2 linked regions of the Drosophila melanogaster genome follow. The protein of the gene in region 2 interacts with the protein of the main gene of each other region in a biochemical or structural test. Each region holds a gene or a part of one and is shown on either strand. Other genes may lie near its edges. The genes, in order: CG30031 and Rpt3.

Region 1 (3,415 bases), on a different chromosome or scaffold from region 2:
GTTCGGTTAACATAAGTTAAACTATGTAGTAATTGATCGAAAACGGGTACCTCAACAAATTACCTTTAATTTATTAAAATGATTTAAACCATTATTAACCTCCCGACAGAAATCTAGGTGTTTGTTATTTTTCAGGAGGTGAGAATACATTTTTTAGAAGGTTTCCTTTCCCATTTGCTGAATAAGACACATTACTGTTGAATCAGTAATAGGTCAAAACCACAATGAAACATAATAAAAGTAATATCCAAACTGAAATTTATTTCGCATACTTCTTAGGCATTGCTAATAACCCAGGAGCGGAGGGCAGCAACATCGGCATAGACACCGGGGTAGTTGGAGTAAGCGCATCCGTATCCCCAGGAGACAACACCGACGAGGACTCCGCCGGAGACCAGTGGGCCACCGGAGTCACCCTGGCAGGCATCCTTGCCGCTGGCAGCAGCGCAGATCATGGTGCTGCGGATCTGGCTACCGTATCCGTAGGTGGAGGAAGCACACTGGCTCTGGCTAACGATGTTCACGTTCACGTACTGCAGCTGGGAGGGGATGGAGCTGGATCCGTAGGAGAGAGTGCCCCATCCGGAGACGGAGGCCGCAGCGCCGTTGGCGGGGTTGGAGCTAGCCAGACCGATGGCCTTGATGGTGGAGCTGAAGGTCAGGGCGCCGTTGATCTTGATGATGGCAATGTCGTTGACCATGGTGTTGGCGTTGTAGCCCTCGTGGTTCTTGAAGGAGGACACAGAGAAGGTGACACCGCCGGAGCTCCAGTAGCTGGATCCAGCACGGATCTGCAGGACGGAAGCGGACACGGACTGCAGACAGTGAGCGGCGGTCACGATGACGTTGCTGGAGTAGATGGATCCACCGCAGGAGTGGCTTCCACTGCGCTGCAGGGAGATCTGCCAGGGGAAGCTGCTGATGGTGGTAGCAGAGCCGCCGACAATGCGGCCATCCAACTGAGGCAGGAGTCCCTCAGGGACGGTGCCTCCCAGGGCGCAGGCTACTGCAGACAACAAGATCACGAACTTCAGCATGGTGCGAATCCAATGAGTTGACTCTAAACTGGACACCCCTTTTATACAGGGACCTATCTCTTTGTGGCGCTCTTATCATAAATTTCAATTATTTTTATCACTTGCTTGTCAGGGAAATCCAAAATATTTTTTAAATGTGTGACCGACAAATAGATTTCGCGAATAAGAAGTATATACGTATACAAAGTCCAGATTCATGCCAAACGATTTTTTTTTGCAATAAGTTGGTCATTTAAATAGCTTGAAAAAGATAGTCACATAAAGATATCGGGGTTTAAACGAAATTAAAACAATTTATATTTCTATAAACAATTTATTGTGTTTTAAATAAACAGACACCATAATTTTTTAAAAGAAATTATATAACTTATGAGAAACATCATGAGCATTACTAGAAAACAATGCAATTGAACGCATAATCATGTAATTAAAATTAATGCAAAGGCGATTAAATTGTTCTTAAAATTAATGGTTTTACAAAATTCACAAATTAAAATGCTAAACAGTTATTTTCTTTTAAAAAGCCAATAATATTAATAGTTATGCACACAATTATGTATAATAATTGGATTAGATTAGAACTAAATCAAGTTGAATGACAAGCATCCACTTTTAAAAAATTCCACAATGTTATTGTACAAGTTTAATCCCCTATTTAAATATGTAAGTCGAAAAAAGACGTTCCCATCAATACCTTGCAAATTAAATATAATAAAAAGAACGCGAATTATTTAGAAAGGTAATATAAAAGTAGTTACACTTTCCTTGCATTTTTATTTATTTTTGTGATAAAGAGCCGTGCGACTTCTGAGTTGTGGAATATCATTTGGGCACTTCAACGGTATTATTTGGGTTTTCCTGACACGCAGGTGATAAAAATAATTGAAAGTTGTGATTATAGTGCCAAGAACAGATTGGAAACTCGTATAAAAGGGGTGTCCAGTTTAGAGTCAACTCATTGGATTCGCACCATGCTGAAGTTCGTGATCTTGTTGTCTGCAGTAGCCTGCGCCCTGGGAGGCACCGTCCCTGAGGGACTCCTGCCTCAGTTGGATGGCCGCATTGTCGGCGGCTCTGCTACCACCATCAGCAGCTTCCCCTGGCAGATCTCCCTGCAGCGCAGTGGAAGCCACTCCTGCGGTGGATCCATCTACTCCAGCAACGTCATCGTGACCGCCGCTCACTGTCTGCAGTCCGTGTCCGCTTCCGTCCTGCAGATCCGTGCTGGATCCAGCTACTGGAGCTCCGGCGGTGTCACCTTCTCTGTGTCCTCCTTCAAGAACCACGAGGGCTACAACGCCAACACCATGGTCAACGACATTGCCATCATCAAGATCAACGGCGCCCTGACCTTCAGCTCCACCATCAAGGCCATCGGTCTGGCTAGCTCCAACCCCGCCAACGGCGCTGCGGCCTCCGTCTCCGGATGGGGCACTCTCTCCTACGGATCCAGCTCCATCCCCTCCCAGCTGCAGTACGTGAACGTGAACATCGTTAGCCAGAGCCAGTGTGCTTCCTCCACCTACGGATACGGTAGCCAGATCCGCAGCACCATGATCTGCGCTGCTGCCAGCGGCAAGGATGCCTGCCAGGGTGACTCCGGTGGCCCACTGGTCTCCGGCGGAGTCCTCGTCGGTGTTGTCTCCTGGGGATACGGATGCGCTTACTCCAACTACCCCGGTGTCTATGCCGATGTTGCTGCCCTCCGCTCCTGGGTTATTAGCAATGCCTAAGAAGTATGCGAAATAAATTTCAGTTTGGATATTACTTTTATTATGTTTCATTGTGGTTTTGACCTATTACTGATTCAACAGTAATGTGTCTTATTCAGCAAATGGGAAAGGAAACCTTCTAAAAAATGTATTCTCACCTCCTGAAAAATAACAAACACCTAGATTTCTGTCGGGAGGTTAATAATGGTTTAAATCATTTTAATAAATTAAAGGTAATTTGTTGAGGTACCCGTTTTCGATCAATTACTACATAGTTTAACTTATGTTAACCGAACTTACTCTTTAACAAAAGAGAATGCTATATTCGAGTTCCCCGACTATCAGATACTCTCGTTACTCAGCTAGTGTCAGGGTGAACGAACTAGCATCTTTCTTCTGGCATATCGATAGAAACTCCACAGTGAAAATGAATGAATGAAATGAATGAATGATATGAATGAAATGAATGAATGATATAAATGAATGAATGAAATGAATGAAATGAATGAAATGAATGAAATGAATGAAATGAATGAAATGAATGAAATGAATGAAATGAATGAAATGAATGAAATGAATGAAATGAATGAAATGAATGAAATGAATGAAATGAATGAAATGAATGAAATGAATGAAATGAATGAAATGAATGAAATGAATGAAATG
Region 2 (4,377 bases):
GGCGGCCAAGCACGATGGACGCAACATGGTGCAGTTGTACGAGAAGGGTTACGGCAAGGATGCCGCCGGCATTGCCATGGAGGCCATCAAGTTTGCCCACGATACGCGAGTGGATGTGGTGCTTGTGGACACCGCCGGACGCATGCAGGATAACGAGCCGCTGATGCGTTCCCTGTCCAAGCTAATCAAAGTGAACAATCCGGATCTGGTGCTATTCGTGGGCGAGGCACTGGTGGGCAACGAAGCCGTCGACCAGCTGGTCAAGTTCAATCAGTCGCTGGCCGACTACTCATCCAACGAGAACCCGCACATCATCGACGGCATAGTGTTGACCAAGTTCGATACCATCGATGACAAGGTGGGCGCCGCCATCTCCATGACCTACATAACCGGCCAGCCAATTGTGTTCGTGGGCACGGGTCAGACGTATGCCGACCTAAAGGCCATCAATGTGAACGCCGTGGTCAATTCCCTGATGAAGTAAGCCAGCCGTCGATCCGGCTATCCTTCCAATGCTCCTTGTTTGCATCCACTCTTTTCACCGAATCAAATATATGGCTTTTGTCTAGTTTGTTGTTGCGTAAATGGAATGCTTTGCCCACTGTTGGCTGTTGGTTCGTTTAGGATTAAGGATCGCTTGGCACTTCGATTACAAGTTGTTTTGTTTTTTTTTATTTTTTTATTAATGTTTATAACTTTATGCGTACAAAGAAGAGTTTAGTGTGTTGGGGGAAAAAATGGGGCGGGAGTAGTGTGTATGAATTAATATAATCTATTTGTAGAACTCGTGCTCCTGCTCGTCCTTCTTGATATTGTTCTTGTAGCCCTTCTCGAAGTCCTTGGCCAAAACGATGTAGCGATTCTCACGCACCGCGTGCATGCCCGCCTCTTGGCAAATGGCGTTGATATCGGCACCGGAGATCTTGTCCGGCCGCGCCACAAACTCCTCCAAATCGACATCCTCGCTTAGGTTCATCTTCGAGGTGATGGTGGAGAAGACGAGTCGCTTCTGCCGGCGATCGGGCAGCGGGAACTCAATCTTACGATCCAATCGACCAGGTCGCAGCAATGCCGGATCGAGTGTGTCCGCCCTGTTGGTAGCCATGATCACCTTAACGTTCGTGGTCTGATCGAACCCGTCCATCTGGTTGAGCAGCTCGAGCAGAATGCGCTGCACCTCGCGATCGGCGCCAGTCTGCGCATCGAAACGCTTCGTGGCAATCGCATCGATCTCGTCAATGAAGATGATGGCCGGCGCGTTCTCCTTGGCCAGCCTGAAAACGTCGCGCACCATGCGCGGTCCCTCGCCGAGGTACTTCTGCACGAACTCCGAGCCGACGACGCGTATGAACGACGCCGTCGTATGATGGGCCACCGCCTTGGCCAACATGGTCTTGCCGCAACCGGGCGGACCGTACATAAGCACGCCGCGCGGCGGATCGATGCCAATCTGCTTGTACAGCTCGAAGTGGGTCAGCGGCAGTTCGACTGCCTCGCGGATCTCCTGCTTCTGCATGTCCATGCCACCAATGTCCGCATAGCTAACGTCGGGCTTCTCATCCGGCTGCAGCATCGAAATGGAGCTATCCGCCTCTGGTGGCAGCACGTCCACCAGCGCGTTGCTGTGCTTGTGCAGGGCCACCGAGGCGGAGGGCTTCAGCAGCTCGCGATCGATGGTGGACAGGATGCGCACATAGTAATTGGAGCCGGTGGTGGAGCCCACAATGCCCGTGTTCTGATCGACGGCCTCCAGGAACTGGCCAATCACCAGCGGCACCGACTGGATGCGCTTCACCTCCTCCTGGGCGTGCAGATACTCCTTTTTCAGGTTTCGCTGCTCGTCCTTGATGTACTCCTCCTGCACTTCAATGAACTCCAGTGTCTTTTGCAGTTTCTACAACACAATGGCCGCTTAGATGGGTGATCAAATGGAAGACCAGTGGACGACTCACCTTGTAACGCACGTAGAGATCCTCCATGTCCAGTTCGTCCAGGGAACTGTGCGCATCTTTTAGCTTCAAGTCGGAGAGCTCGTCCTGGTGGAAAAAGTGGAATTGGGAAAGAGGTAATTAGTACGCATGCCAGGCGGCGCAGAGAGGCAACTACGCACCTTTTCCGGTATCAGTACGTCCATGTTGTACGGCATTCTTTTCGTTCAGCAATGAGTCTCGTTTTATTAGTTTGCGTTTTCTGCGAGGCGACCAAAATGACTCGTCAAAAACAAGCCAGCAGTGCGTTGTGGTGGCAACCCTGTCCGCAATCGATTGTGATCTATCGATGGGGCCATTTATCTATCAAATTGTGCTGCTCTTTCAATCGGTTTTTTTTTTCGATATATACTCTTTCTGATAAGAAAGCAACTCCTCTTTATTGGACAATATCCTATACCAGTTAGTCTGTAAAGCTAAAATGTTGTATACAAATAAATCTAATATCACATGTCATGTTTCTCACTTAATATCCGGAAAGTATTTTTTAATACGTTTCAAAGCATCTGGTGATGGGAAAAAATCAGCTGTCTGATAATTGCCCGATATATACCAGCTCTGATTGGAACAAAAGCTGATAACAGATTTATTACTAACAAAAACTATTTCGAATGCAGATCGCTTATAAGTAATTGATAAAATCGCAAGTTATTCTAAGCAATTCACGTAGAACCATGCCAAAGTATCGCTGCTCGAGACGCAACTATCGATAGTTCGAGTACCTTTCTCGCCAGCGGGTACAAGTGTGTACACACTGGCAAAACCCGACCATTTTGACGCGATTTCGATTTCCCATAAGAAAAAAAAAGAGTAGAAAAACACACACATTTAACATTTCGGTCGCTCCTGCTGCTTCTGTGTGTGCTATGTGTGCGTGTGCGAACGAACCAAATATATACACACACGAGCGCTGGTAGGACAGTGAAATCGAATTTGCTGTTTATATAGCACAATTCGATGGCTGATAATGCCGCCGCCGTCGCCGAAAAATCGTTTCCCCAATATCGCTAGCATCAGAACGGGAAAGAGAACGGGTACGAGTACGATTCCGATTCCGATTCCGAGTACGTTTCCCACAAAGTATCGTTGTCGTTGTCGTCGTTGTCCTGCTGCCGTGCCCCGCCCCCTCTGGCCGCGCCGCCGCCCCCTCTGCGCCGTACGCACGCATCGATTTGGGCTAAACGTTAGATACCTCCTAACGCAGTTGTTAGGGTGGAAAGAACGGCCAGGGAAAATTGAATGCGCTACACTGGTGGTCGAGCTGCTGCAATGCCGTGCTTAAATTTAAGTGCAAGGCACTGATACGGATCCGTTGGCGCTCCTGGTCTGGTCCGTATCCAAGCGAAAAGAACAAAATATACAAGAAAAAAACAAGAAACAAAACAACAAAACGGAAAGCAATCCCGTGAAATCCCGGAATACAGTGCAATACAACGAACCGAAACACAGAACAAAACGAATAGAACGAAACAAAACGAAACGTATTTAGATACGCAGGAGAGACCAAGTCGGGATATCCAAGTGGACAGTGTGGTCTTGTGCAGTGGAGTGGTAGTTATGCTATATATAGCTGTTGGCCAAAACAATAGTGTCCGATAACAGAGCGAGATCAATTCGAGGAGTTGAAAATGTTTATTGTATAATTTCCAATTGAGCAGGTGTGCGTGCGAGTGTGTGTGCGTACGTGTGTGTGAGTAGTTTTTGTTTTTCGCTGCTTCTTCTTGCGGTTTATTTGTCAACAAAAAGAAGAAGGAAGAACGAAGCAGTGTGCGTGCAGCAGTAAATTGTTGTCCGCACACCCCGCACTGCTTGCAGGAGTGGCGAAGCAGTTAACTTGTGCAACGCAACCACGGACGACCCAGTGGCCTCCACATGAAGACCATGTCGCGCTTCGGCCTGCGCCGTGGCTTCAAGTTCTCGGAGGAGCAGGTCAACGGCAAGAATCCAATTGGACCGGCAACGGCACCAGCCACGGCCGCTGCCTCATCTAATCCGCGCAAAAAACGACAGACCCGGCAGGAGGAGGATGTGGACGCGGAACAGGAAGAGGTGGAACCGCACGAGGATCAGCTGGAAGCGGAACAAGAGCCGCTCTCGCTGATCTGCAGCCTGCCGCTGGAGCGGCTGCCCCGTTTGGTGGAGAAGCTGCATCAGATGACGGAGGAACGGGAACGAGAACGGGAGAGGGAGCGCGAGCGCGAGCGGGAAGAGGCCGCCGGCCTGGGTGGAGCCGCGCACTCGAAGGTCCTGTGTCTGTACTGTGATAGGAAGTTCGCCTCCGGCAAGCTGCAGGCCAAGCATGTGGACAAGTTTCACACCGAGCGGCAGGAACGACGCTGCAGCGGTCGTTCCACCAGCTCCAATTCTCATCCCGCCGGCGGCTTCCCCG

The links.
Region 1: of the proteins of Rpt3 (region 2) and CG30031, one has a biochemical effect on the other in vitro, tested with the Drosophila melanogaster proteins (one study listed by BioGRID).

Annotation. Positions count from the first base shown.
Region 1 is NT_033778.4:11,348,819-11,352,233, forward strand, and holds CG30031 (uncharacterized protein), read left to right. Parts: upstream 1-1,992; 5' UTR 1,993-2,008; coding exon 2,009-2,770; 3' UTR 2,771-2,803; downstream 2,804-3,415. Other genes in the region: gammaTry (gammaTrypsin), read right to left, coding at 276-1,037.
Region 2 is NC_004354.4:11,123,082-11,127,458, reverse strand, and holds Rpt3 (regulatory particle triple-A ATPase 3), read right to left. Parts: upstream 2,359-4,377; 5' UTR 2,147-2,358; coding exon 2,111-2,146; intron 2,037-2,110; coding exon 1,953-2,036; intron 1,895-1,952; coding exon 773-1,894; 3' UTR 674-772; downstream 1-673. Other genes in the region: SrpRalpha (signal recognition particle receptor alpha), read left to right, coding at 1-484; CG11122 (uncharacterized protein), read left to right, coding at 3,861-4,377.